4 linked regions of the Schizosaccharomyces pombe genome follow. Changing the gene in region 1 together with any one later gene gives a genetic interaction. Each region holds a gene or a part of one and is shown in the gene's direction. Other genes may lie near its edges.

Evidence for each region.
Region 2: of trr1 (region 1) and txl1, changing one enhances a phenotype caused by changing the other (phenotypic enhancement), as found in Schizosaccharomyces pombe (one study listed by BioGRID).
Region 3: mutations in trr1 (region 1) and grx1 are lethal when combined (synthetic lethality), as found in Schizosaccharomyces pombe (one study listed by BioGRID).
Region 4: mutations in trr1 (region 1) and ctt1 are lethal when combined (synthetic lethality), as found in Schizosaccharomyces pombe (one study listed by BioGRID).

The regions. Positions count from the first base shown.
Region 1 is NC_003423.3:4,185,036-4,193,284, forward strand, and holds trr1 (thioredoxin reductase Trr1), read left to right. Parts: upstream 1-4,763; 5' UTR 4,764-4,931; coding exon 4,932-4,932; exon of another isoform or gene 4,933-5,231; coding exon 5,232-6,199; 3' UTR 6,200-6,413; downstream 6,414-8,249. Other genes in the region: SPOM_SPBC3F6.01C (serine/threonine protein phosphatase), read right to left, coding at 438-1,859; erg26 (3 beta-hydroxysteroid dehydrogenase/delta 5-to-4-isomerase), read right to left, coding at 2,672-3,694; U3 snoRNP protein Nop14, read right to left, coding at 6,588-8,249.
Region 2 is NC_003423.3:761,753-769,179, reverse strand, and holds txl1 (thioredoxin-1-like protein Txl1), read left to right. Parts: upstream 1-1,689; 5' UTR 1,690-1,701; coding exon 1,702-1,925; intron 1,926-1,977; coding exon 1,978-2,626; 3' UTR 2,627-2,828; downstream 2,829-7,427. Other genes in the region: DNA repair ERCC8 family protein ckn1, read right to left, coding at 1-623, 668-746, 795-912, 993-1,100, 1,164-1,311, 1,362-1,398; ubiquitin C-terminal hydrolase Ubp10, read right to left, coding at 2,927-3,909, 4,011-4,347, 4,396-4,584; 1-phosphatidylinositol 4-kinase Stt4, read left to right, coding at 4,951-4,958, 5,014-7,427. UniProt on the Schizosaccharomyces pombe protein: Has a role in cellular detoxification of alkyl hydroperoxide.
Region 3 is NC_003424.3:4,870,396-4,877,637, forward strand, and holds grx1 (glutaredoxin Grx1), read left to right. Parts: upstream 1-3,823; 5' UTR 3,824-3,873; coding exon 3,874-3,894; exon of another isoform or gene 3,895-3,988; coding exon 3,989-4,041; exon of another isoform or gene 4,042-4,209; coding exon 4,210-4,307; exon of another isoform or gene 4,308-4,375; intron 4,376-4,430; coding exon 4,431-4,564; 3' UTR 4,565-4,656; downstream 4,657-7,242. Other genes in the region: nup37 (nucleoporin), read left to right, coding at 105-130, 182-258, 428-1,500; hit1 (HIT zinc finger domain-containing protein), read right to left, coding at 1,781-2,177, 2,291-2,358; ceo5 (TTC27 family TPR repeat-containing protein), read left to right, coding at 5,180-7,242.
Region 4 is NC_003421.2:54,132-62,420, reverse strand, and holds ctt1 (catalase), read left to right. Parts: upstream 1-3,587; 5' UTR 3,588-3,955; coding exon 3,956-5,494; 3' UTR 5,495-5,767; downstream 5,768-8,289. Other genes in the region: cytochrome c oxidase assembly protein Cox14, read left to right, coding at 1,727-1,873, 1,931-1,993; SPOM_SPCC757.06 (uncharacterized protein), read right to left, coding at 6,392-6,598, 6,642-6,755, 6,813-6,842. UniProt on the Schizosaccharomyces pombe protein: Catalyzes the degradation of hydrogen peroxide (H(2)O(2)) generated by peroxisomal oxidases to water and oxygen, thereby protecting cells from the toxic effects of hydrogen peroxide.

The DNA.
Region 1 (8,249 bases):
AGAAGACACATTGATGACTTATGATGGCAGTGAATTTTGAGGGTAATAATAATAAGAAGACAGCATTTTAAATCAGTGCGATATTAAAGGATCAATTGTTTTATTTACTTCATTGTTCATATGAACTTAAACATTATTTATATTTTTATTGTACAAAGAACGTGAAATGGAACTTTTGGAATAAAGAGTAGCTAATCAGGAATTAACATTTGGGAATTCCTAACCATCCAGGTATCGAAACCAATCCTTAAGCTAAAGATTAAACATACAAATAGCATTATTTTTTTGAACGACGGTAACTTCATAAAAACCCAAACAACCAAGTCTTCAAAAAATAATTTAACTGGATCATATAGCTGTGGAACAAATTTTTTCAAAAACCAGAAAATTAAAAAAATGTGGGTGCAAACACTGAGAACAGTGCTTGCAGTCTCCCATCACATACCACTTAGCAGTCCATTGGCATATGCCATTGGGCGAATGTTAGGATGGGGAACGGCTTCAAATTGGTGGAAATCCAACTCCATGTCTTCCTTAACTTTAATTACGGCACCAAGATTTCCGGTACTATCACAATAATTAGGAGCACTAAACACAGTAATACAATAACCATCGTGCTCAACTTCGTAGCCTTGATCTCTGACTTCATGAGAACGGATCACTGCTTTAAGACCATTAGCCTCGCAAAAACGTTTTGAAACATCAGGGCCGAATTGTAAACCCACCCCACGTTTCGATGGTCCTCGTCCTGGAGCAGGTTGTGGATCGGTCCAAAGCATTTCCATCATTAACCCAGATTGTCCAGGTTGCTTTTTACTAAATCTATCAATGTTTCGTAGTTGGTCTAATGTTACGTTATCATCAGAAAATAGGCCACCATGTACAACAAGATAAGAATCGGAAATTAGGGAACCAAGAGGTAGCAGAGAAAAAGTTTCCGAGAAAATATTAAATGTCCTCTCATTATACTTACTACGACATTCACCTTCGAATCCGTAGACTTTGTTCATATCGTCAGTTTCGTGATTACCGCGATTGATGAAAACAGCGTCCGGATATAATAACTTATATGCATAAAGAGTAAAAGCGACTTCAGTGGACCACGAACCACGATCGACAAAGTCACCATTGAATAAATATTTGTTAGTAGGGCTTGGAGGACCATGAAGTTTGAAAATGTTTAACAAGTCAAAATACTGGCCATGGGTGTCACCGCAGATAACCAATGTCTCATCCCCTTTAACAGGAATGTCAATTAAAGAAGGAGTTTTTTCAAGTAATTCTTTTAAGTCTCGCAATATGCTATATGCAAATTTTAGGGGGAGTTTTTTACCTTGGCAAAAGCGTTCCTTCATGTCTTCAACAAACTCTTTCGTTATTTGCTTTTCTAATATTACACCATCATAGTCAGAAGGAATGTCCATGTCTTCAATGTTGATATTCGCAAGTGGTGAAGGAGGTTCAGTATTATGAATAGCCTCCTGAAAACGAATCCTTTTGACCAATTGCTCACATTCACGAAGCTTTTTACGAGCAGCTGGATCACTGGGTGCTAGTGCCAATGCCTTTCGGAAGTCACCGACAGCCTCTTTGGGTTGAAAAATAGCAATATGAGCAGTAGCTCGACGAAAATATGCCTTTGCATATTCGGGGTCGCATTCAATAGCTTTGGAAGCATCATTGATTGCCAGACCATAATCCTCTGACTTTAAATGTGCAAGAGATCTATTGGAGTAAAGAATTGCGTTTGTAGAATCAAGCTCAATGGCTTTTGTATACAAATCTATAGCTTGAACGATATGTCCCTCTTTTAGAAACTTGTTGGCTTCATTTTTTAATTCCAATGCTTCTTTAGCCATTTTATTGAGCAAAAAGTACAAATTCAAGCCCTTGTGAGTTTTTGTTTGGTGGTTGATAGTAGCTAAAAAAGTTTTTATCTGTCCGAACAATGCAGCTTAATAATTGGTAGTATTGGGCTACAAAGAAACAGATATTTAGGATTCTCAAAGATCAAAATGATATTTTTAGAACAACAAATTAATGGCTTTATAAATGCAAACTTTGCAACGCAGCATACATATTAAAAAATAAATACAGAATTTACACAATGTTTTACATTAGAAATCTCAAAAACTTACAAGCGTAATAAAAGCAGTTTCTATGAAGTGTGTCTATTCATTTATCTACGAAATAAAATGACTCGAAACTTATAATACATCAATACATCTCAGATGAGAAAAACTTACAAGGCAATCATTATGTAAAGGAAATAACCATTGTTTTCTAAACACAAGTGATACCGGACAATCTTCGTATAGTTCAAAGAAAGATAACAAAAGCAAACGAGCTGTATCCTTCTCGTCTCAAGCACAACGAGTAGAAAGTACAAAGAGAACGTTATATTGATGTTATTCGATCTTGTCTATATTCCAAGATACCCAAATATTTTTTTTTCCTTTTTTAAGATCTGAGCAATCATCTATCAAATGAAATGATGATATAAGTCATTAACAATTTCCAAAGCGGAAAAAAACTGTTTCGTATCGACATGCTCAAGAGGTAGAACTCATCGAGAAGAAAGTGAACTATGTAGAAATGAAAAAAGACTACGAAGCGTTAGAATTTAAAAATTAAATATTCTTTTAAAGAATAACAAGGCCAATGGCTCAATTTAATGTTTTTTCTCAGTATCCATCCAAGCCAAAGTACGACGAATTCCTTCCTCCAAATCCACAATGGGATGGTACTTCAAAACATCTTCTGCCTTTTGAATGTTAAAGTAACGGTTAGCACAACTAAATTGGACACGGAAACGTGTAAAGCCAGGTTCCTTTTTCAAGAAATAACAAACCCATTCAGCAGCAGTGGCTAAGAGCATACCCACCGGTCTAGGGAATTTGATGATATAAGGGGGAACGTGTCCTGCATGTGCCCAAATAGCACGTGCAAAGTCCCAAAAGTAAATAACCTGTCCATTGGTAATGAAAAAGACTTGGCCATTGGCAGTAGGATTACTAGAAAGTAAATTGTCCATAGCCAGAAGATGAGCATAGGCAGCGTTTTCGATGTAGGTAAAATCAAAAAGATTCAAATTATCACCCAATTGAAATTTGGTTTGTCCATTCTTTAAAACAGAAAGCATACCAGGGACGAGTTGGCGATCACCTGGACCAAATAAACCAGCAACTCTAAGGGCAGCAGTTTTTAAAGATTCAGAACTTGCCTCCAAGACTTGTTTTTCTGCCAAAGCTTTGGACTCGTTATAGGCATCCATATGAACTTCTGGGATGGGCTGGGACTCATCCACATTGATAAGGTCAGCACCATTGAAAACTACACCTGCGGAACTAGTATAAACAAGGGCATCAACATTAAATTTCTGGCATGCTTTGATGATATTCGCTGTGCCATCTACGTTCACTTCAAAGTAAATATCACGAGCAAGGTTATGCACAGGTGAAGCAGTGTGAATAACTACGCGTGGATGAAATTCCTCAAAAACACGCTCAATATCACCTTGTTTCGTTAAATCACCCGTATACATGGTGAATTGACCATGAAGCTCGTGTAGCAACTTTTCATTTTCAAAGAGATCAAATGCAGCAATTCGAAGATTTTCACGTTCGCACAGCTGCCGTATGATATGACCTCCTAAAAATCCACTTCCAATAACTAACACGGAATTCATCGGCATTAAAAAAATACAAGAATAAACGATTGTCTGGTTCTTGCCAGGTATTCGACGTTACACCATATCGAGAAATGAGTGAGCTTATTTGCTACCTGTGTTTTTGGGGTGTAGGCTAGATGCAATACACTAACCATGATTAGCGAGAAAGAGAGCAGCTGTTGAATATGGAACATGGGTTAGAGGATAGTAGCCGATTGAAACTCTATTAGTACAATATGTAGTACGCACTTAGAAAACAGAAAAATTAAGTGAGTAACATCTCGAGTACCATTACAAGAAAACGATGACCTCCCGACCTCGTACCGTTCACATCTAAAACTGGCCTATTGTAAAGCAATGCTGCGTGCTACCTTAAAGCTCGATAATGTTGATAGCAGCCAAAACCCAATTTTCGTACTTTCTTCGTTGAACGTTAAACCAATTTATTATTTATAAATTCTATCGTTATACCTTTTATCAAATCACAATATTCAGCGTAAAACATTTTTCCTCGTTGGTAACCTTAATAAATAAATTATTAAGCAGTGTTGATCGCAGGAACAGCAAATTTTTCTTTTTTGGGTTGTAAACGACTAAAATTTGTTTCCTTGAAATTACTTTTCGCAATTGTTTTTTCTAGGCTACACCAATCGCACTTGAATCATACTTGTTTTTGGTTAAAACCTTAGTAAGGCAAGTAGCCCAGCACGGCTACATTGAGAATTTTGCTTTCTGCGCGTCTCTTTGACAATTTGTTTGGATTGTGGAGGCTTAAACTCTTAACTAACAAAAACGTGGATTTTTCTTGTCGAGTTCTTTCTATTGTACTAGCATAGGTCAGTCGTCTTTCATGTACAAAGCGTCGCTTACTCATGGCTTTGGTGGTTCGTCCATTTATCGTGGCCTCACTAATTCTCGACATTCCTATACCCTCTTCTACCATGTTGGCATTAAATTTGCTTACGCGATATCGGTGTCTCGTTCTGCCACTGTTAATCTAAGCGTTCGCACTTTTACGAATGTCTCGAACGAGTCTCATTATTCATCGCTAGTAAGCACACCATTTCCCAGGGCTCTATATAAGAATCAATTTACCCACTACCACCATATCGCATTCCTTCGATACTTCAGGACATTCTTTCCTTATCAGAAATTTAGCTTCTATAAAGGCATACCCGATTCTTTTAAGAAATCTTTGAAGTTAGGATCTATTTATTCCCCTTTAAAACAAACATATTTCTCTACAAATACTCATATCAATAGTAAGTGAAACGAAAAACGTGCAGGAAATGTGACGGCGATGAAGTCGAACCCAACAAAAAAAAAATTATTACCTAAAAATAAAACTAATTCGGTGATGAATTTTTTTCTTTTTTTTTGTTGATTAGTAGGAAACTTTTTTATTTCCGAACTCACGTGTAAGATTGGGTTTCATCTGTTTTTTTATCATTGTTCGATAATGGTTATCTTGTGTTCTTTCAGCTTTTCTATCCTTCTCGCCTTACAACATTAACGTTTATCTTTTTTTGTTTTGTTTTTTTAATTTTACTGACTTCATTAGTGACTCACAACAAGGTTGTTATTATTGGGTCTGGTCCCGCCGGCCATACTGCAGCCATCTATCTCGCCCGTGGTGAGCTTAAGCCCGTAATGTACGAAGGTATGCTTGCCAACGGTATTGCTGCTGGTGGTCAGCTTACTACTACCACCGATGTCGAAAACTTTCCTGGTTTTCCCGATGGTATCAATGGTACTACCCTTACTGAAAACTTCCGCGCTCAATCTTTGCGTTTTGGAACTGAAATTATTACCGAGACTGTTTCCAAATTAGATCTTTCTTCTCGCCCTTTCAAGTACTGGTTGGAGGGTGCTGAAGAGGAAGAGCCTCATACCGCTGACAGCGTTATTTTGGCTACTGGTGCTTCCGCTCGTCGCCTTCACATTACTGGTGAGGATACTTATTGGCAAGCAGGTATATCTGCTTGTGCTGTATGTGATGGTGCCGTTCCCATTTATCGTAACAAGCCTCTTGCTGTCGTTGGTGGTGGTGACTCTGCTGCCGAAGAGGCCCAGTTTTTAACAAAGTATGGTAGCAAAGTTTATGTCCTTGTGCGCCGTGACAAGCTTCGTGCTTCTCCCATTATGGCCAAGCGTCTTTTGGCTAACCCTAAGGTGGAAGTTTTGTGGAACACCGTTGCTGAGGAGGCCCAAGGCGATGGCAAGTTGCTCAATAACCTTCGTATCAAGAATACCAACACGAATGAAGTCTCTGATCTTCAGGTTAACGGACTCTTTTATGCTATTGGACATATCCCTGCTACTAAGTTAGTAGCTGAACAAATTGAGCTTGATGAAGCCGGTTACATTAAAACTATTAATGGAACTCCTCGTACTTCAATTCCTGGCTTTTTTGCCGCTGGTGATGTTCAAGATAAGGTCTTCCGCCAAGCCATCACTTCTGCTGGAAGTGGTTGTCAAGCAGCTTTATTGGCTATGCATTACCTTGAAGAATTGGAAGATACCGATTAGAACTAATCTAGAATAGTTACTGATTCCCTTTTCCCTTTTTGGTATTCATATGCATTTTGTATGCTCCTTTCCTTTCTTTTGTTTATCCAATAATTTTAGGAGTATCTTATCAATTATTGTTTACTATAGATACATGGCTTTTTGATTCGTAGTTATTTTTACACGAAGAGCAATAATAATGATTGTTTCCCTTTTTCTACACCTTAGTTTACGCATGGTATGTATGTAAAATTATATAAGTTTTTTTACTATTGATATAATAGTAATAGTGGACTTTGGCTGGAAGTATTAAGCTAAAATCATCAATTACCTATAAATTTTCCCCTAATGATCCCTATACTACCCTTTATAATTTAAATTCAAAAACTTAAAGAAATGCACACTTTCTCTAGACAGCCGGATCAAAATGCTGCAAACGATTTTCCAACTTCCGCATTTTCTCATTGTAGGCTTGGTCCTTAGCACGTTGCTCTTGCCTTCTCTCCCTAGCAATAAACCTGGCATCCTTGCGGAGAGTGCGGATAGCTCCTTTCTTGGCATCGCGGTGTTGAGCACGCAACTTGTTGAGTTGAGCCCTTTCGGGATCAATATCATGGGAGCTTTTGTCAAGAGAATAACCTTCCTCAAACTTAGGAACTTGACTAGTAATTCCTAAAGGACGATGAGATTGTAAAGCCAATGGTTTACGGTTTGCTTTAGCTGATTCAATAGAATCGGAAACAGCCTGTAAAGTAGATAATAATTTTTCCGATAAACGTTTACTCAAAAGTTCCTTTTTCAAAGAGTACAATTGTAACATGTCCATAATGGGTACAAATATTTCAATGAAAGCTTGCTCCTTAAAATAAATGTCAATCGCCATTTCTATCAAATTTAAAGTTATAAATAAAATGGAAGACTGTAGAAGCCCTGTCGGTAACTCTTCTAATTCATATAGGCTTAGCCTTTGAGGTTCATCGAGAGATATATCTTGAATGGCGAATAAATTTTGCTTTTCCTTCAAAGAATCAGGAAGTGCAAATGTTCCTGGTACTATAGATATGAAATTGGGGTATAGCAAATAAAGTGCCTGTGAGACTGCCGTTATAACTTCAGGAACATAACGGTGGCTGTAACTTTGAAACTTCAAGAATAAATTGGCAATATACAGCTTCTTGCAAACATCTGATAGAGAATCAGCAGGAGATTGGGACAAAGACTCTGCCATTGTAAGCATAACAGGACTTACAACAATATGCTTTTTATCTGAAGTTGGGAAGATTGAACCAGTCAGATTGAAAAACAATAAGTCAGAAATTTCAGGAAACTTAATTTCCGGATACACATAAGATTTTGCTAGGCGTTTGCGCATCCCTTCAACAACTGAAATAAAGGATATTCCTAAAGCACTGGGAAACTGTTGTGCCAAAGAGTGTAGATGCTCAGTCAAATGCTCCAATAACTCCATTGAAATCATAGGTTGACGAGTTAAGTGAAGTATATGTTGTAATAAAATAACAGAAAAATTTTCAAGGCGCGATTTGTTATCTGGATGCAGCTTAACATGATGCAAAGTACGTATACGAGAGACTACAGTTGGATAATCCTTATAATCCAGGCCTTTAAGAAGTTGAACAAACTCTACGTGAGAAGTAGGACACGGGTACGTATATGCTAAAGACGCTTTTTCAGAGCCTTCGTTTTTTATAGCCGATCCAACTAAAGGTTGTTCCTCCACTTTTAGCTGTTCATCATCTACAAAAGATGTGTCCGAATTTACTGACTCTTCATCTTCCGATTCTTCAGCTTCCTCATTTATTCCATTCCATTCCTCCTCATTTTCCTGTTCTAAACCTTTTCCAAACCCAAATACGTTATCAGTAGCTTGCTCATCTTCGATGCTACCAGCTTCACTAGCAGAATCTTCTTGGTAATGTTCCATTCTAGAAATTCTTTGGTCCTCTAATTCACGCAAACGATCAGCTTCAATTTGAGCAAGCTCCTCTTCGGTCTTAGTACGCTCAGTAGGATGCGCGCGTTTGTCGAAAACCATTTCACGGACAAATGAATC
Region 2 (7,427 bases), 3.4 Mb from region 1:
TTTAGGAGACCACATGTAAATGTTCCCATTCATATCACCAGTAAAACACTGTTCAAAGTCAGGACGATAGGCAGCACAATTAATACGTTTTAAACTGTGGGTTGAAAGTCGGCGCACAAACGAGCCTTCTAACAAGTTCAATAAGGCAAGAGACCCATCATCGTTGGGGAATAACACAAAAACATCTGAATCCATAGAGGGTTGGATCATGCAAGGATGTACCGCGAAGGAAGTAGTCTGGTTATGAATAATAGGTCCAAATTCTCTCAATGTGTTTCTTCCACTTTCCATATTCCATACTCTTATTCGATCGTCGGTACCACAACTTGCCAAATATCGAGCATCTGAAGTCCAAGCTAATCCATTAACGGTGCCGTAATGAGATATATTTGTCTGGTTACTGGGTAAATACTTATTATGTAGATCCATACATGCGAAGCTGGATGATACTTTACGAATGTCCCAAAGTCTGCAAGTGCCATCTGCAGAGCCGGACGCTAACACGAATTCATTCTTAGGACACCAATCCACCGCAAGGACATTACCCGTGTGTCCAGACAAACTATGAGTATAACTACCACTTTGCATATCACAAAGCCGAATAGACGAAGACCGGTAGGCGGCTATCGTTAGATGAACAATCTCAAGAATGAAGAATATAACGTACTGGCAATTAAACAATGTGATGCAATGGGCGACCATGCATGTGAATAAATCATGTCCTCCATAGTAAAAGTGTAAGCTTCCTACCAATATTAGAACATTGGTTAATTTGCGATTTCTACTTTTATTACCTGTAAAGTAGAAACATCCCAAACCTTGAGCGTATGATCGAACGACGAGCTAGTAAAAATACCATTATCAAACGGAAACCAATGCAAATCTGTTATTCCAAACTTATGACTCGTTCGACTAAAACACCGCAAGTTAGCTATTGATCACTAGTGTATATATTGAAATTGTCATAAACTAGGTAGAAAATGAATGCTTACGCAGGAACTGCATTTAAGGTATCCAAAATTAAATCTTCATCTTCCTTTTGGTCAATATTTTGTAGGTCCCAAACATTGATAGACGAGTTGGCTCCTCCAGAGACCATGCTGTCAATAGAAATTGTTAACCAAAAATTGAAAGCTTTGATAAATCAACGATATAGGTCATACAGCTGATGAATTGTATTATCAATGCTTAGTGCATTTACGGATCCTAAAATGCCCGCACCGTGTCTACGTTTAATTTTCACATCCGGATTCAGCGCTAACCGTTGAAGACGATGCTGCAGTAGTTGCCTTCGAAAAGAGCTATTTGGCTCTACAAATGTGAGACTTGAAATCCTTATATCACATAATCAATTGCATTACCTTGGCCCCATTCTCGTGCCAATAAAAAAGAATTCATTCGATTTCACCTAAGAAATAGACTCAGATGCTACAGTAAGCAACTGACAGCTTAAAACAACCCGGTTTTTAAACCATGTATAACAAATTAAGTCTAAATAAAATTACAGCTAGTTTAATATGAGCGGTAAATAATACTGTCAATTAATCAACTTCTATGTTTAAATAGCAAACTCAAAGGTAGTTTCCAGGAAACAATAATAAAAAAATATGTTTTTCGACGTTGGCTAGACGCACTACTAATAACGGTCGTGGTGTACGAGATGGTATTGGCAGACGGTTTATAGAACTCAACCTCAACCATATGTCAGTTATTGAAATTAGATCGTACCAGCACTGGATCTCAACGATCCCTAAGTCCGGATATCTTGCAGTTGATTGCTATGCCGATTGGTGTGGTCCTTGCAAAGCAATTTCTCCCTTATTTTCACAATTAGCATCGAAATATGCTAGCCCCAAATTCGTTTTTGCTAAAGTAAATGTAGACGAGCAACGTCAAATTGCCTCCGGGCTTGGCGTCAAAGCAATGTATGTGTTTACCTAATCCGTCACTGTACCATTGGTTTTGCTAACATTTTAGGCCTACATTTGTTTTCTTTGAAAATGGCAAACAAATTGATATGCTAACTGGAGCAAACCCACAAGCTTTGAAGGAAAAAGTTGCTTTGATTTCCTCAAAAGCCACAGGAACTGGCGCTCTTGCTTCTTCGTCATCGGCACCTGTCAAGGGTTTTGCTAGCTTGCAAGGCTGCATTGAAAATCCCCAATTGGAATGTCTAAATCAACAAGATGATCACGATTTGAAAAGTGCATTTAACAGTAATCCTTCCTCATTTTTAGAGTCGGATGTTGACGAGCAATTAATGATATACATACCTTTTCTTGAAGTGGTAAAGGTTCATTCTATTGCAATTACTCCTGTTAAGGGAGAAACTTCGAGTGCTCCAAAAACCATCAAATTGTACATCAATCAGCCCAACAATCTTTCTTTTGAAGATGCTGAGTCATTTACTCCAACTCAAGTCATTGAGGATATAGTTTACGAACAAGACGATCAACCTACAATTATTCCCCTTCGTTTTGTTAAATTTCAACGTGTCAATTCTCTCGTTATTTTTATTTATTCGAATGTCGGAGAAGAAGAAACTACTAAGATTTCTCGCTTAGAATTATTTGGTGAGCCTGTTGGTGATTCAAGTAAAGGAAAACTACAAAAGGTCGAAGCTTAGGTGCTTAACAATTTGTTAACTAAAATCATGACGGTTTACGAATTTACCTTTATGAAAATCTAGTTTCGTATACATTACTCGACCAATCTGGTGTCTTGATACCAAAGAATACTACAAACCTTTCATTTGAGCATTGTAATTGCTGACTACTCACGAAATGGGAATATAAATGGATAATCTAATTTATATAGAATAAAGATTTTCTAAGCGGTAACGTTTGATAAATAAAATGAATGTTTTTTAATTTTGTCTCACGTAGAGGAAATTTTGTGAGAAATCCAAAAATTCCACATATTAACACTATGATGACCTTTCCCAAAGCTGAATAAAACTTTCGCCTAAACGAATCATATCGCTACTGATTTCTTCAACATATAAGTCTTGAATTTGATACCATTTATTGGTAGAGGGGTTTCGAATTTGAATTCGGAAGTTATGAAATTCTTCTTCAGCATGTGTCACGGACTCATGTATAATATTAGCAACGAGGTTGTATTTCGTAGAGATTTTCGGATTTGACTGGATAAATGAGTCATCAATAAATGGGCTCATATCAAAATCATCCAAAGGAAATGTCACTATAGTTTGGTTTCTTTCCGTAAAGTAATTGTTTTTCATAAATCTTTTGATGTGAAATATAAAGTATGGAGGAGCCGTCATTAAATGAAAACGCCGTCGCATACCTGCAAGTTCTTGGGTATGTACCCCATTATATTTGTTAAGTATCTCTTTTAATTCTACTTGTGGGATGATATTACCTTCAAACTCATCTTGGAATATGGGTTTCGGAGGTAAATCAAGAGTAAGGTAAAGAAAAGGGACGACGTTAGTTTGTATAACCCTATCACCAGTAAACACAACTTGCTCTCCCTTTTCAGCATGTTGGCGAATTTTCTGTGATTCAATACGTACAAATCCTTGAAAGCTGTAATGTACAATAGAAGTAGGTTTTGCTATGGTCGACTTTTTTCCACCAAGGCAATTGTGTAAAGTATTTAAAAACCAGGAAAGGAATTCTACTGGATCTTTTTGTTCATTAATAGAATATTTTTTGTGAGAAAGAACTGTAACCTCCTGAATGAGTTCTTGAGGAGAGACATGGCTCTTGAATGCTTTATGGTTCCAAAGTTTACGAATAAGGATTGCCAATCTTTGGACAAGTTGAGGGCAATTATCAAAGTTTTTAAGCAAAAAATAATTTCGAAATGGCTTAACATGGGCCAACATATGAATCACCACATTAAAGTAATCGTTATTTTTTATATTGTTCATGCCAACAAAACCTACAAGTGTTAGAACTTAAACCATTAAATAAAATGAATCCTATCACTTTTTCATAGTAAGCTTTATAAAAGAAAACAAAACAATTCCCCACGATACTTACCTGGAACATAGGGTTTGAGCATTAAATCGTAACTGAGCTGTGGTGTGTGATCTAGTCTTTGGACTTCTAGTTTCGTAAAAGTAGGTCGCATCACATAGGCAATATCTTGTAAAGCGCTGGATTCTACTTGATAAGATTCCGGCAAGACATAAAACTTTAATGTTGAGCAATTTACAAAAACATGATGATTTTCGGTGAGTGCATGGAAATAAGCATGTGATGAAGGTCCACGACCCTGGAAATATCTTCCACAGACTAAGCAAGCATATACACTAAGATTTGTCAAGGAAACGGAGCAAACCTTTTCAAAATCAAAATCTAACAATTTACGATTGATCTAATTAGCGTTAATTATAGAACAAAAATGCAGCAAAATCACTCTTACAGTGTCCAAATATAGGTTTTGTGATATTATTGGAGTTGTTTCGTGTTCTTCCATCTCTTTAGACGCAATATCATGAACATCTTCCATGTCTTTACCCAATTCGAGTTTTTTGCGTTTTCCATTATCAATATTATTATCTTCTTCAATATGGCGTTTTAAAATATTATTTTTATCCTTATTTTCTGACATTTTTGAAGCTTTACCATCTATCGATAACTTCAGTTACTAAGTCGTATGGAAGTATCTTCCACATAATTGCACTCGTCTAAGTCAACAGCAGATCACGCTCTTTCAAGTCATTTTCTACTTTTACTAGCTTTCTCTTTCTTATTTTCATATTTAATGTATTAAAGGGATATCTAAATACTATTTCAAGCCGGAGATTTCACATTTAGACCTGGTTCTCTGCTTCTAAAGCCGAAAGCGGTTATTAGTAGATTCTTCCGTAACTTTCATTTCATTTGGTTGATAGAATCTATCCCATCAAAATTATAACTTATTTTTAATCCTTTTTGATTAGATTTACATTACCCTTGTAATCCCCTGCCAAATATTATGGATTGGTAAGTGGTTTTATTTTTTCCCCTTTCGAATGCACAGTCTACTAATTATTATTAGCATCGATAAATCAATCAGAAGGGAATCTTTACGAAAACTTGGCTGCCTTCCCGATCACGGTTGGAATCTGTTCGTACAATCAAGTAATCGTTACTCAAAATTGCTTGAAGCAGATTCTAAGCTATTTAAGGCCCAAAGAATTGAGGACACTGTCTTGTCAATTTGTGAAGTTACTTTGGAAAACAAAGCCTCTGAAAATGCCTTGACTTTGTTCCAACAGCTTCGCTTTTACTTGCTGAATTATCTATTTTTGGAAGATACCTCGGAGTACAAAAGTGTTTTATGCTCACTTGATGAATCTGTCTATCCTAATCTTTTACCACTGACTGCGAATATTTGCCCATGTATTCTTAAGGCGCTTTTAGCGCTTGTCAGGCAGCATAGAGAATTATCTTCCGATATAGTGAAGTTTTTGAATAGCATTTTTTTGGCACTAACTCGTATTCTAAATACTCCTCATTCGTCAAATAATAATCCAACTCATACTAAAACGACAATCTTTGAGAAAGTGTTTTATGCCTCCCACCTTGGTTTCTTTTTTGAAGAAATAGCCGATGCTTGCATATCAGCTTTGCCGCAAGACGCGTGTTTATGGGCAATGGAGGTTTGTAACACGATACTCGTCTCAGACCTTCCGTGTAAATTAATAGACCTTCATAATGATTCTTTTCTTCACCATTCCAATTACTATGCTGGGTTTGGGTTGAGCTATTACCTTTACCTTTCATCTATGAAAGCATACATCAATTCTTCTGGTTGCCTTTGGTATGAAGATGCTACCTCATTTTGGGATATTGTGAAACATCGCCCTTCTTCTCCGGAGGAGAAGCCGTTTTTAACGCAATTCCAAAGCATCTTAAACCTTAGTGATAAGTTTTTGTCAAAAACTGGGACCTTGAGACTTCAAGAGAAGTTGGGTACTTCATGCAATTTATTTTTTGTACTCGTACTAAAATTGGCACTTCTATCCTCCTCCTACATTGGTTTTGTTCCATACACATATAGTGATTGGATTAATGTGTTGTTAGGTTCCATATCTGAAGATCCGGAGCTCTTACCTCATTTAATTGAACTTATGGCTTCGTTGGCCTGTGTTTTCCCCACTCATTTTCAGTTTGCTATGAAAAGATTGCGTTTAATCGCTATTTATGCCCCCCGCTTTGATGATGGTAATGTGACTTATGCTCAATTAGCCTCTAGAAAGCTTGCTCAACTTTTCAACTATTCCTCAAGAGATACTGCTATCACTTCAATATACCAGTTTGCCAACTTGCTGTCTCCTGCTGACACTCCTGATAGTTATCTTGCAGCTCCAAAAGAACGCCTTTCTATTAGTGACAATATGTCTAGTTCTTCTTCACAAACTGCAACGGTAAATACAATTTCAAACTATTTGAATGTTATAGATTCTGTTCGTGAAATTGCTTTGACAGTTAACGATGAGAAAATTTATGGATTAGCTATTTCTTTGTTGATACAAAAGTTCTCAAGAAAATTCGACTCGAGGGTGAGTACTGAATTAGTGAGAACACTAGCAGATATATCCACTAAAGCTAATGATCGTGACTTTTCAATATTGGTTCAGTTTTATTCTATTCAAAACAAAATGCTCGTGAAGAACGGTGATGAAGCTCTGACAATTGCTATTTGTGATTCCCGCTGTTTGATCGCTAGAGGTACGGAATCTAACTCTTTCAAGAGGTCAGATTTGTTGAAAAGTCTTCTAGAGGAGATTATCCATATAGGTATCGTTCGTGATACACCTGCCCCTGAACTGAAAGGATATTATTTTGGCATGTCTAAAGCCGTCCAGGCTTTAGTCGAGTGTGTTGCAGGTACTGATTGGAGCAGTTTGCCCAAGGAAGAAATGTATCCTGCACTGTTCCGTGACATGTGGTTTACTTTAGTCATAAATCGTTTCCGTTATTCAGTTGATTTAGGTGAAACACTAGAAGTTGACCTTGAAAATATTGCCAAAAATTCTCCCCTTCTTGTTTTTGAGGATTTTGGTAGCAATTTTGAGAGCAATTTGGAACTAAACACAGTCCTCAGGACTCATATTGAGCATTCAGTCATTTCTCAGATTAAATCAGAGTTGTTAGTCAGGGTCCCTAACATTGATCTTAAGCCTTTGAGTACTTCAGAAATTTGCTTCTTGTCTGCTGTCCTTTTACTTGAATCTTTGCGTTGCAAATCGAATAAGCTTTCTGCGCTTGTAGAATACTTGCTTGATCCATCTTTGAGAGACAGTCAACTCCCCCAATCTATTCGTGCTATTGCCCTATATAACTTAACATCTTTCGTTGAATCATTGTCCAAAGAAAGAAGAGTTGCTTCTTCTACTATCGACGAATTTCAAAAACTGTTGTGTCTTTGTTGTAATAGAGTTGATTGTGTACGACAATTGGCTTTGG
Region 3 (7,242 bases), on another chromosome or scaffold:
TTTCCATTTGTATATATAAATGCATTTTTAATTTCTTTATCTTTTTATTGTCTGCACAATAAAGCGTTCATTCTTTCCGTTTTTTTTGAAAACTATTTTTCGTCATGACTCTTTCCTCTAACCAGTATCAGTACGTTCAGCGTTATTTCGTTTATGTCTCTTTCTAACTTCTGTTTATTAGATTGCCTCTTAATGTCCGCCCGTATACAACGACTTGGTGTTCCCAGTCTCCTTCCTGTTCAAATCTTCTTGCCATAGGTATGTAAGATATCTGAATGTTACGACGAATGGTAATTTACGTATTACTCATTTCTTCTTTTCTGTTTTCCTAAGTTACAATATTTGAGAAAACCTCAGTGCTAATGAAACAATTATCTTCAAATAGCATTCCTCTAAACGTTTTAAACTAATGATTAACCTTATACAGGCCATGATACGGGTATCACTATTTATTGTGCTTCAGAAGAACAGACGCCCGGATCTACAGGTTTGACATTACAAGAGTTGTTCACTATTCAAACTGGGTTACCCACTTTGCATCTTTCTTTTTCATCTAGCTGTAGTTATTCTGAGAATTTGCATGATGGCGATGGAAATGTGAATTCCTCACCTGTGTATTCTTTGTTTCTTGCATGTGTGTGTCAGGATAATACAGTTCGTCTAATAATTACAAAGAATGAAACCATTATTACTCAACATGTGTTGGGCGGAAAATCTGGGCATCATAATTTTGTGAATGATATCGATATTGCAGACGTCTATTCCGCTGATAATCGTCTCGCTGAGCAGGTGATAGCATCTGTGGGCGACGATTGTACGTTGATTATATGGAGACTGACTGATGAAGGGCCTATTTTAGCTGGATACCCATTGTCTTCCCCTGGTATTAGTGTCCAATTTCGCCCATCTAATCCTAATCAATTGATTGTTGGAGAAAGGAATGGTAATATTAGGATTTTTGACTGGACTTTGAATTTATCAGCTGAAGAAAATTCTCAAACCGAGTTGGTTAAAAATCCATGGCTTTTGACTTTGAATACCCTGCCACTCGTTAACACCTGTCATAGTAGCGGCATTGCTTCCTCTTTAGCTAACGTTCGATGGATCGGAAGTGATGGAAGCGGTATACTTGCAATGTGTAAAAGTGGGGCTTGGCTTCGTTGGAATCTTTTTGCTAATAACGATTACAATGAAATCTCGGATTCCACTATGAAATTGGGACCCAAAAATCTACTGCCCAACGTGCAAGGCATTTCATTGTTCCCATCCTTGCTTGGTGCTTGCCCACATCCCCGTTACATGGATTACTTTGCTACGGCACATTCTCAGCACGGCTTAATACAGCTCATTAATACATATGAAAAGGACTCGAATTCAATTCCTATTCAATTAGGTATGCCCATCGTTGACTTTTGCTGGCACCAAGATGGATCACATCTTGCTATAGCTACGGAAGGATCTGTTTTGCTTACCAGATTGATGGGGTTTACGAGATTATGAGGGTATAGAACAATATACTTAACATCGAACTAAAATAAACGGGTTCAGGAGAGGAAATTGTATTGAATAAATATTAATGTTCATAGTTAAACCAAAAAGTAGTATTTGCTATGTATTAACATCGTGTAAACGCTGTTACTTTTAAAAATTTTAAATGGATGTGTTGCTTTCGTAAACAATTCGCCTTGGTTCAAATATCGCCTTTGATATTTCAACTTCCAATAACCGATATGCGATTTGAATTGAATCTTCTAAATGTTCGTTACAATGATAAAACCCATTATTTTTGAGCATAATATTTTTCCAGAATCATGGATGCCAGTTTTTCGAAAGATGGATTGTGTAGCCGCTGTTGCTGAATAGCATCTAAGGTTTTCAGAGGAACAGAACCCTCTTCCTCACGGTCAAGGTTCACTAATTCTTTCATTATATGTAAAAGCTCGGCATTACTTTCAATTAAATTTTTTATGCTAGGATCTTCGACAATAGATTCCAAAAGACTTTCACTTGGCAATGCCTCTTCTGCTAAACTTGGGATTCTTCCATTAACGTAGATAACATTAGGAGAAGGTTCTGGGGGGTTTAAAGGTTCTTTAACTCCTTTGAATGTTGTTGTGTTATTGTCATTTACAGTCTCACATTGACTTTGGTGGATTTTCCAGCAAGGTAATGAACAACTATTAATTCTATATTAGTATTTTTAGGAAACAGAAAAAAAGAATAAAGCATTGGTTCATGGGTTAATGTGTATTGAAACAAAATGCATTGTTCTGAGCTTACAAGCACATACTAAGGAAATGAACACTTCGGGCATTTATATTTTATTTCTGATTCGTTGCATATTGAACAAGTTGTCATGATAGCGTTTAAATTTTTCTAATGTATTAGAGGAGAAACCTTTTTTTTTAGACAAGCTCAAACAAAATAAGATTAAAGGGAGAAGAGCAATAGAGTAACGTCAAACCTTGCTAGTTCAAAATACAGTTAACACTGAATAAAAAGGCTCTGGTTTTTCCCTCTTTTGTGATATGTTCGAAAGCTATGGTAAACAGTAAAATAATATTTTTTTGAATATTCTCAATATAAACTATCTCTGCATCTCTAGCGAGTACATTTTTTTAGATTAGCATGGTGGATTTACTTATCGTTACCCCTCACTATATAAAGCTTTTTAATGATTTTCTGGTTACGAATTTTAGTGACTTAGTCGTAAATAGTTTAAGCTTTTTAAAAAAAGTACTTATTTAAAGGAAATAAATTATGAATCTTTCTTTGGGAAGGATCAAAGCGCTGTTGTAAAGTATCCTCAGTTTCCAATTTTTTGTTTATAGCCCTCCCTAACGATCTTAAATGATAAGCAACGTGTTTGAATCACAACCTTTCATTTTTTAATATAAAAGGAAGTATCTGATAAAATCTTTAAGGATATGCTTGTATAATGCTGAGACGTTCTTAGAGTCATTATTCAAAAATATCTACTTAATTGCGTATATTAAAGTTAGCAGATGAAACATCGAATCATGTATTTAAAATGCTAATTGATTTACAGCTCTATTTTCCAGAATTTTTTTCTAAAAAGGAAAATAGTAAATCATTAGTTTATCTAATTAGCTAAATTGTTGACGTTCATGTCAATGGGTAGGCAACATAGCTTAAGTTGATCAAGAGCAAATGTTTTTGAGCAAGGTAATATCATTGCTTTATTAGAAGCTTAAAAATGGTTTAGCGTAACAAATCGACACAGAAAACTAAAATAGATAATAAAAAGATTTTAAGCAGGGTTTTTCGATGAAGGTATATTTGGTCTCAATTCACAATTTTTATTTCAATTGATTGACTGTTATTACTTAACAGATAACGAAAATTCAAGTTAAACATACGCAATTATAAAAATAGGTTAGCCTTTTTTTTTCTATGCACTTTAAATCCGTTAATTAATTAATTGTTGTAGCCAGAGCTCATAAGATTTGTAAATAAATGAAATCTATTCGAAATCGCAATCATTTAGTCTTATTATTCATAACAATGCAAAGCACGCTAAGTCGCTAGAATAAACAAGTCATACAGAACAGAAAACATCCAACTAGTACAATTCTCTGCACGAAATCATTATAGGCGGTTTTAAAAAAAAAATAATAAAAATCATAAAATTCATTATATTCCCTGCCATATGCTAGTCTTTCGGTTATTGAACCGTTTACTAACGTATAAGTCTACTAGACTTTTCTAACGTTAGGGATACGTGCTCCACTGACGTATGAATTAGCAATATGGAAAACCATGCACATATATATAATACACAACTGATAATACATATCTGCCTACCACATACCACCAAATTTAAAGGTTTTTGTTTGTTACGTTATTAGAACCATGTCTAGTGTTGAATCATTTGTACGTATCCGTTTGGCTAGAATCAGAGATTAACCACAATGTCGCTGAATTTTGGTAAAATGTTCTTTTACAGGGTACTAACATTTCTGTATAGGTTGACTCTGCCGTTGCTGACAACGATGTTGTTGTTTTTGCCAAGTCTTACTGGTACGTTTGCTTAGTAAAGTAATCGTTGCATAAGGGCGTGTATTTGTCACACTGGCTTACCATAGTTTGAACGCTTGTATTTTTGTTTTAACAAATTACACTTCCATATGCCTAGAACCGACTACTTAATTTTTTTTGTTAAGCAGTGATATTAACTCTTAATTTTAGCCCTTACTGCCATGCTACTGAAAAGGTGATCGCTGATAAGAAAATTAAGGCTCAGGTATACCAGATTGACCTTATGAACAACGGTGATGAGATTCAATGTAAGTTTTTATTGCATCTGTTGTTTTGCTTGATGCTAGTTTAGATCTGTCTATAATATAATAGACCTTGAGTCTGTATAAAATGGATGGTATAAAAAAAAGCATACTAACCTCCTTGATTAGCTTACTTATTGAAGAAGACCGGTCAACGTACCGTACCCAATATCTTTATTCACCAAAAGCATGTTGGTGGTAACTCGGATTTCCAAGCATTATTCAAGAAGGGCGAGCTCGACTCTCTTTTTAATACTGCCTAATGAAATTCTATGAGCAATAAATTTTTTTCTTTAAATTACATATCTCAAACTGAAGAAACCTGTATTATAAAGCTCTTAAATCTAAATCTGTGGTATTTTAAAGCTAATGATAGAACTTAGATGCAGCTGTTTTTCCTAGCTACTAACTACAACATAGCACATAAATTTTGCTTTTATTTTGAGTAATAAATCACTCGAGAAATACTGCTCTTTTCGATTACTTTATTAAGTAACTCATCTGTGCACAATTTGTACTAGCTGATTTAAATTTTTGAAAATTTAATTATTGAACTGGTAAAACAAAATCAAGGAATATTAATGCCATTTTTATCCTTTATCATTAGACCTCTGTAAATTCGAAGAGTTTCTGAACCTATTCTTGAAAATTGGGTTTTATAAATTTCTGGGTACATTAGTCAGAGTTCCCAACTCCAATCTTCAATTCCTGTAGTAGCAAACTAAAAAATAGCTATTTTCCTTACTCACTACTGAATTGAATTGATTTCCTTTTTGTTTTAAATACAGAAATTCCACTATTAGACGGGATAAATGCTTAATAGGTTGATTGTCTGAAAATATATTTGTTGAATCAAAAATTTTCAGTTTTGCCAAACAATGGTAGCAATAGAAAATAAAGAGGTCCTTTTTGGAGGTTCTCTAAAAAGCACAGAAGAATATGATCAGTTTTTCTGTCCTAGTATTGACATTCCTAAATTTTTGTTCAAATATTGGGATTCAAAGCCGCTAGGGAAAAATGTCAGCAGTGATCAATTCGCTGAGACTGCAATACAGATGTTGGAATATTTTATTCAGAATAATTATACTGGACCATATCTTCCCATTAAGCCTGAAATATGGCTTCCACAGCGTTTACGCGACGAGGCTACATTAAAGGATGCCATTATAAAAAGTTTAACTGTGGAAGGAGAAAGGCCTTATCGACTTGCACCAAAACTTTTATTTCTTTTACTTTCGCAGACTTTATTTAACTACGCAAATAGCAAAGATCCTTTGCACATATGGTATAAAGCTCGCCTTGATTTTTTGCACCAACAAATGCTTAAAGAGCACGTTTCAGAGTTGTTTAATCAAATAATGGAAGGCATGCATATCGTGAGTAGTCATGTTTCTTCACTAGATCGAGATTTACAAGGGCGGTTTACTATGGAAATGGGCCTCATACAATCTTATTACGGTCGTGATACTTTAGCTCTGCAGTTGATGAAGGAATCAGCAAAAGTAATGGACTTTCATTTTGAATTAACTGGTGCTCTTGGTCGACGCACAAAATTCCAAACGTTTGATACTTCGCAGCTAGTTGTTTTAGCAAAGTCTAGAGACCGATGCAAAGATACCGAGCAGAACAAATCAACTAGCACTCAACCGATAACATTTGAGTTAAATGATGATACTCTTTTGGAGAAAATCTCCTTTAAAGAAGATCAAAAATCATTGGCTCCTTCTGAAGAACTTGATCCGATTTTGTCATCCGAAGATCCCAATCATCCCTCGAAACTTGATCCATTGGACGCATCTCTATTACTTGCATTTTGCCATATCATAAAGAATAACAATCCTGATGATGGACTTACGCGTGAAGAAATGGCGCCTTACGCAGAGCGCGTTTTGGTTTATCCTGTTAATTGGTCTGTCTATACAATGGCTTTGCTTGTACGTGCTCGTCTCGAGGGGTTTAAAAGTCGAACTGTTGAACGTAGTGTTCTTCAAATGCAAGCATTGTTAGATCAACTTAACGATCAATTGAGTTTTGGTAAATCACCTGAAGGTGTAGATAAACCAGAGAACGATGAAGGTTTGGGATCTTTCCTTCCAAAACCGCAAGATGGAGAAAACTCTGCCTCGTTGAAAGAACGTCTCAATTACTTTTATAATTTGCTGATGCCATCTAGATGGCAGTTAGAAGCTGAATTGGCTGAAAGGTTCATCTCTGTTGGTGCCACCAAATCAGCCCTCGAAATTTTTGAACGTTTACAAATGTGGGATTGTGTTGTGATGTGCCATTGTTCACTTAATCGTCAAGATCTGGCCGTTCAAGTAATAAAGCGAGAATTGGAAAATGATCCATATGATTTTTTACTTCGTACTCTACTCGGAGATATTGAAAACAATCCAAAACATTATGTTGAAGCATGGGAGTTATCCTGTAAAAGATTTGCTCCGGCTCAACGGTCCTTGGGTAAATATTATTACAAAAAAGGTGACCTATTGCAGGCTATGAATTGTTTTAATGAATCACTGAAAATAAATCCCTTGTCTTATCCTACCTGGTTTACTTATGGGTGTGCTGCTTTGGAGTTGCAAAAATATGACGCTGCCATGGAGGCTTTTAGCAGATGTTTGTCGATTAACCCCGAAGATGGAGAGAGTTGGAATAATCTTGCTAGTGCTATGTTAAAAGCAAAAGATCATACCAAAGAACAAGCATGGCATGCGATGCAACAAGGAATTAAATACATGTATGATAATTGGCGTATTTGGGAGAACTATATGCTTATTTCGGTTGATGTTAACAAATGGTCTGAAGTAATTCGTGCTCTTAGAAGAATTATTGAAATAAAAGGAAAAGATGAGGGTGAGCGTGCTGTGGATGTTCAATGTTTAGATTTGGTAGTAAATTATGTTATGCAATCTTGCGACAATGACGCATCAGGTCTTGC
Region 4 (8,289 bases), on another chromosome or scaffold:
TAACCACGTAATAGAGGTTACTAACAATTTTGGCAATGTGGAAATAGTAAACATGAAAATGACTTTGGAGGAAGAAACGACAAAGGCTTAATTTTCCTAAAAATTTTGTTTTGTCACTGAGTAGTGAGTGTATTGACGCAGCTACTAAGGTTGTTTCGGTTATCTTGATAATAAAGATGATCGAAAACTTACCGAAATGAACTGCTTAGTGTTACTTTAATATCTCTGATAATTGTATGAAATGTAACCATCAATTTCATGCCATAAATGAAATCATGTTTGAGGTTCACCTAAATTTTAATTTGAAAAGCAATATCTGCACTGTACTATATTTACTACTGCTCATTGTCATTTGTTGCAATCTTACCACAAGCAAGAGTAAATCCTAGAAGAACATTCAAAAAGAAGCAATTCGAGAATTAGCTAGACCGTGATATGAAAAGGAACTAGTTGCTGTTTTAATATCGATACCAGGAACACCAATCGACGATTATGAAAATAAACAAAACCTTTGAAATTTAATAGTTCATAAGATTTTAAAACAAATTTTCTTAAGGCTTTGTGAGTCATTTATTTCTATTTCTATTCCTACTAATAAGAGACAGTTTTTATTTCGTCAATTTCAGTTTTGCTCTTGCTTGACTTACCGAAATGCTCAGCTACTTAGTACATCAACAATAAGTATATGAAGAGCAAACGTATTTCAGAATTGACAAAAGTGACCAAAAATGATCAAGAAAATTGAAAATAATTGAAAATGAAATCCAAAGTAAACGTTTGTGTAATCCTCTATAAAGGTAGACGTATACATACTTCAACACGTAAAATTTGCCTGCTTTCTTTTCTTCAATTTCAATAGTATAGAAACTTTTTTTCGTCATATTGGATCATTTTCATCATTGAATTATTTCATTTAAACTTTACATTTCTTCTTTGGTACCTCATATGTTGTACTCTGTAAATGCCGGCCGTTTTTTTCTCTTGGAAAAATGGGGTCAAATTCGTTACTGAACAGGCTACATCTAGACTTGACTCGATACATTGATTAAGGCCAAATAATTTGGCTTTATAAATCTTTGGCTGATTTACTCAAGGCGGCAGACGGATCCGTTTAAAGCTAATGTGCTTAGAAAAAGATAAATAAAAGTTGCAGTTTATGAATCCTATGTAGCGACTATGACACTCAGTAACAAGATTTATTTTTTAAGTATTGAGATGAAAAAAATTTGAGATTCAACTTTTATTATCCAGGAAATAACTGAGACACCTTCATTTACAACAAACGCTTGCGATTTATTTCTAATAATGAATGAATAGTATCACCCACCGGAATACTTTTTAAAATAATAATTCGATCCCTTTATCGCTTTATTACTTACCAACGATATTAGTGAGCCGAGCAGTGATGACTAGACGAATGAATTAATCATGTTGAGTTTTAACGTAATTTAGCACTACTTTCAAACCTCCTGTTAATCATTTTAAAGAACGTCATGGTACAGCTCGGAAAGCCGGTAGAATATGGGAAGGCCTCATTTCTACAAAACCCAACTGTAAAGAGCTTTGCCACTAAAGGTGACCTTTTAAGAGCACATTCCATCAGTGCTAATAATCATTAACAACATATTAAATTATAAAGAAAACTCAGTAAGTTTACTGAAGCGATTAGGCTGTGTAATGTGGTAAACTGACAAACACGACTACTAACAACTACTAGGTCAGTGTTATGAACAGAAATCGAATTTACGACATTGTACAAAAGGGATCGGTATCGATTCTAATTTTCGGCACTGTTGGAGGCACTGTTCTTCTTGGCCAATCTTATTATTCTCATAGGCAACGGCGTTTAGCAGCATTGCAAGAGTTTCAACAGGTATGAATTCCAACTAAGGGAATTGGACGTGTGTAACTAATTTTTCAAACGTTCTAGAGAGAAAAGATAAAAGAAGAAGGATTTGCAGAGGATGAATTTAATCAACTCGCCCTCAAGTAAGAAAAAATGGTGCTGAAAAGCTGAAGCTATCAGCATCGTGAATTTTCGAGGACTTTGTGAAGTCTTGGAGAGGGAAATAAAGAATAAAGCGAAATCTAAGTAACTATTTTGTTTACTAAGTTGATGCTGTTTCTGCACTTACTGATGATGACCAAAAAACACTATAGTTCTCTATATAGTGAAATTTAATTCTGCCACCTATAACGTCCCCTCTTTCATGAACAGCAGTTAATGGCATTTATGCTTAAAGTACTTTTACCAACTAAAAATTGAATTCAACATAAAACAAGCTTGTGAATACCACCTTCAATCTTTGTTTGACGAGTCAAATGGTAGTAGTTTATTTAAGCGAATGTAGAGTGAGCGATGGGAAACAACAACGTATGGGTTATATCTTCATCCGCTGAATTAAAACATGCATGGAAATCGTAGTGTTTATATCGAACCTAAAAAATTAGTCAGACCAACGAAAGAAAAAATTCCTTATTATTATTACTTCGTTTTGCTTGAAATTTGTGATGTAGAGGAAAAGAAGGACTTTTATTAAACGTATCATATTCTATTTCACACATTCCTACGGATTGCCTTTACACGCCGTCCATACCTACGGTTTGTCGGTCCTTAGATTGTTTGCATCTCCCATTTTTTTTTTTTTGTAAGCAAGGGACTTGTTTCACTTCCAGCCTTTCTTCGACCTTAGACTTGCACTCCTAAGTATATTGGACGAAAGTATTCTAATTTCAGTAACCTCCTTATCTATTTCACTCTCCTAGTCATACTTCCGATTTGTGCACATTATACCTCTACGGGAAGCTGTGCACAATGAATCCACTTTCTCAGTTCAGTTAATATAGAATAGAAAAAATTTATAATTTAAGAAATATACAATGCGCCCATAAAACACGTTTCCAAACTAATCGATCATAAAATTACCATAACTTCCTTTTCTCACTCACCCATTTCCCGATCTTAGCACATCAACCCGACATCATTTGAAATTAAACCATACTTTTGTGAAATCAATTCTTCAAGCTAAACAAACCGCATGAATACAGGCCAAAATCTACATGCTTGCATATCCTATTTTACCATACATCTGTTTTATTTACTTCCCCAGGAAACACACTATACTCTGCTAATCTACCAAAAACACTGGTTCCAAAGGGTGCATGTCCAGCACAAGTTTGCGACTGAAAAGTCTAGCTTTTAATTTTATTAAGCATCTTTCTCCTCTATATCGACTTGCAGTAGAATTTCATGTCAGCGTCTGTGTCTAGAAACGCTGGTTTTACTAATCGCTAACGATGGGATTTGCCCGCTTACGTTAGCGATGGTGTTGGGAGATTTGATATGGCCAAGTAACGGTATGAGCGCATCGTAAACATTGGCTGAAGGGTGGATTTTGGCGACTACGATAGGCTGTAGAAGAAGTTAATTTGTCATTGTAGCTTCGCTAATAATGATGCTCTTTGGCTCACTAAGCCAATGGAATCTCGGCCATTTGCGTTGGTAAGAGTTTTCCTATTGTGCAAATATGACGTTGGTAATTCTACACCAGACAATATATATAGAGGCAATTGCAAGTTGCTTGAATATACAGCTTTTCACGTAAAAGTAATAGCTTTTGAATAGAAGAATACTATAAGTTCTTCTTTGTGTGTGTGTGATTGTAATTCCCTTGTTCGAATATCGAATTATAGAAATTGTGGTTGTGTCTTGAGTGATTTAGTTAAAGACTCGACACTAATTTTTTAAAAAAACACAATTTTTTGACTGTCTTTTTTTTTCCCCTCCTAACTCTTCAAAGTGTCGGCTTTTCGCATCTTTGAACGTTACTGTCTTGGTAGACAAGCTAGTTTAAAATCATTTGCTCGTCGTTCAACTAATTCCAAGATTAACAATAATAAGCTACTCTTTAACAGATTTGCATCTTCTCAGTCTAAGGATTCAAACATCAGCGAAATGAACTCGAAAGACTCAAATACCGTCCCTGTTTACACCACCAACACCGGTTGTCCCATTTTTAACCCTATGGCTGCGGCTCGTGTGGGTAAGGGAGGTCCTGTCTTACTTCAAGATTCCCATTTAATCGACGTCTTTCAACACTTTGATCGCGAGCGTATTCCTGAACGTGTCGTCCATGCAAAGGGTTCCGGTGCTTTTGGTGAATTCGAATGCACCGACGACATTACCAAGTATACCAAACATACCATGTTTTCTAAGGTTGGTAAGAAAACCCCTATGGTTGCTCGTTTCTCCACCGTCGGTGGTGAAAGGGGTACTCCTGATACTGCTCGTGATCCTCGTGGGTTCGCATTAAAGTTCTACACCGATGAAGGTATTTTCGATATGGTTGGAAACAATACCCCTGTCTTCTTCCTTCGTGATCCCGCTAAATTCCCTCTCTTCATCCATACTCAGAAGCGTAACCCTCAAAATGATATGAAGGATGCTACTATGTTTTGGGATTACCTTTCTCAAAACGCAGAGTCCATCCATCAAGTTATGATTCTTTTCTCTGACTTGGGTGGTACCCCTTATAGCTACCGTTTCATGGATGGCTTTTCCAGTCATACCTACAAATTTGTTAATGATAAGGGTGAATTCTACTATTGCAAATGGCATTTCATTACTAATCAAGGAACCAAGGGTTTAACAAATGAAGAAGCCGCTGCATTGGATGGATCCAATCCCGACCATGCTCGTCAAGATCTTTTCGAAGCTATTGAACGTGGTGATTACCCCAGTTGGACGCTTTACGTTCAAGTTATGACCCCTCAGGAGGCTGAAAAATATCGCTACAACATTTTCGATCTTACTAAGGTCTGGCCTCATAAGGACGTACCAATGCAAAGGGTTGGACGCTTTACCTTGAATCAGAATCCTACCAATTTCTTTGCAGATATCGAGCAGGCTGGGTTCTCTCCTTCTCATATGGTTCCTGGTATTGAAGTCTCAGCGGATCCTGTTTTGCAAGTACGTACATTTTCCTATCCTGATACCCACCGCCATCGTTTGGGTGCTAATTTCGAGCAAATTCCCGTCAATTCTCCTAAGTGTCCTGTCTTTAACTATTCTCGTGACGGCCCTATGAATGTCAATGGAAACCAAGGAAATTGGCCAAACTATCCATCCTCAATCCGACCACTTGCTAAAGTTCAATATGAGCCTGACGAAGGTCACGAAAAGTGGGTAGGTCAAGTTACTTACCATATGGACGAAATTACCGACGTTGATTTTGAGCAACCTAGAGCGTTTTGGCAAAATGTTTTGGGCAAGAAACCTGGACAGCAAGATAACTTTGTTAAGAACGTTGCCGGTCACTTGTCTGGTGCTATATCTCCTGTACGTGAACGCCAATACGGTGTATTTACTCGTGTTGATTCAGAGCTTGGTCGCCGTATTCGTGAGGCTACTGAAGCTGAAGTGAAGAAGATGGAAGAAAAAGCCCCCAAGCCAATTAACAAGGGCGAACCCCATATGTTCCAAGGAAGCTCATAATGCGCTTATGCGAAATTAGTTTGTAAAAAATTTGAGTCAGCTAGGTTTATCGGATGACTACTATTTTATTCTTTGAATGCGAGACATGTGTAATGCCGTTAGAAATTTATTTAATTTGATAAATGTTAATTAGGAAATATATATTTTAACCTCAATAAGCACATAACATTGATAAGAAAGCAAACAATCTTGACATATTAGGTTAACATATAAATAAGGTCTAAGGCTTATTGTGTTTTCCAAGTCTTCTGCCGTAAATTTCTTAATATCTGTACCAGATGAGGAAAGGAAGATTAAAATTTTGTAATCAATTAGGAAAGCTTAAAAGCAAATTCATGAGCCACACACGATATTCGATTACTTATGTAGCTAGCAACAGTAAATTAGCACTTTTAAAGCCAGTTGTCATGTGCATTAGATTTATGTTTTTTGCAGTATTTGTATCTTTGTAAAACAAGCCGAAATATTATATTGAATAAATTTGTCACTCATGGTGTTATTATTCCTTTAGTCTCTAGTATTCAAAGCCAGTTGAGGTTTGGCCGGTTTATCAATGAAATTTTCGAATAACTATTAACATGAACTACTCGTAATAATCATACTCGAAACAACCCTGTCATTATTTAAAAAACATTGGGAGAACTCGAGTGTCTCCATCGACATCATTAGCGCTATATGCATTCATAAATAGTTTTAAATTCAGTCTTGGCTTATAGATATAACGTCTTTGCTGATGATGATAGAAATCTTCTTGAGGCGTATTTGTAACATCATTGTGAAGAATTAGAGGAATTATCATAGAAAGCCGACATAGTGAATTTGGTGGCAGTTTATACCATTTTATAACTTCAAGAATATCAGAAGAGGTAGCTTTTTGTCCTTAAAGAACAGCCGTTGCTAAAATGTCAATTTCTGAACAGTAGGTAAAACTGTAATTAATTCACTACAGCTGAAGCTTTGACGTGGGCAATCAGTCATCTTTACAATTAATTTTATTAAAAATTTTAACGACATTTCTCCAAGAGTTTGTAATTGTGCTACCTCAATTGCAGGCACTGAGAGTAAAAAAATGGGACGACTAGTTCCGTTGAGGGCATTTGACATCTTTGATTTTGCCGAAATTAATTAAAGAGTTTTTGACACTAACTTCTTTGTAGCAAGATTCTCCGTAAAATAATTGACAACCCAATTTGCAGACGTGAGCGTCTTGTTTATCATGATCGAGGGATCCTACATAGCCACAGCAAGTATATTTACAGTACTGGAAAAATATCAACTTGAAACTTAATTATGGACTTCCTGAGCCATGAAAACACACCACTCTTGAGGTTTTATCAGGATTCACCATTAGTTAATTAGTGATGGCTTGACGCTCCTTCGTCTTCCAGCAATCATCTATGGCAATGTTCTCATGTGCATAGTCAAGCATTTCCGATGACTTTATTACTTCATAAAAGGTAAAAAAATATTTTAGCTGATGTTACTTCCAATTTATTTTAAGTATCCCAATTTTAAGGGCAGGCACTTCACTCAACATAGCCAAACCAATAGCAAACTTACAAATACAAGATTCTAGTAGGGAGAGTATAATTAATGATTCCAGAGATGAGTGAATAGAAATTATGAAGGTTTGCAAAAGAAAAGTGTTTTATGATCTTACAGAACCTTAGGGAAATCGTAAATTGGATATGCCCAGTAGCATTCAATTGAAATGTCCAATTTTTCTTCAATTTTAACAAAATTTGAGTAAAATTTGGCAATAAGATATACCTTGAAATACTGGAAAACAAATCTAAATGACACTAGATCTAATCGATCTATTTATACTTAAACCAATCTACTTCGTAAGATGATGGAACGAAAAAACAACTTAAGTTACTGAGAAATTTGATAATTTTAGTCCGTAGTCCATGACTTATTCTTGAGTGTGCCGTCAAAGATTTCTTTCTCCTATTGTTTGAATTATTAATGTATTCCCTCCCCGCAATATTCCTAAATTCATGAAGTTTAAAGTTTTGTTAACCGAGGGGACATATCCGACGTCAATATTCTAATATTTTACGGAGTTTTATTCTTTAAGACATTATACACATCGTCTCGACAGTATGGCTTTTTTCCTTTACTTCATTGCAAGTTTCAGATCGCAGAAGGGTTCCAACTTTGCTTCAATACGATTGAGTGCGTATAAAGCCTTTTTCTGTACTTACCTCGTTTTACTTGTTTCTCTTAAAAAACTTTTAATAGCTTTTCCTGTTAGATTCTTTTGATAGTAAACAATAGTTTGAGGGTTATGGGTGTATTTATTACTGTATACTTTTTGTCAATAATACAAAAGCTGAGCACATTACCATAATTTGTCGCTACAAGCATTGCAGTTTCTTATCACCTGTTGAGATTTTTTAAATTTAATTTTACTATCCAAAATTTATTTACTCCTCTTTGTATAATATAGTAATGTTTAATGTAAGTATTTCCATTGAGCTGACTTCCAGTATGACGCTGACTTAACGCTGATTAACGAAATCATGTATAAATCAGGCAAACACAAATACTAAATCAGCGTCTTAAGCACTGGTATCTGCACTTAGTACTAATTTCAGCGTTTATATTTTAATACAACCATAAAACAATCCTTCTTTATATTAGTTATCCTAATCAAATTGTTACCGCCTACCAAGGGTTGTCGCTTAAAATTTGGAAGTTAGATAATAGATAGGCTACTACTACACCATAAAATCATGAACACTCCCATTACTGCTCGAGTTCAATAACCGTCTGCCTATTGTACATAAATT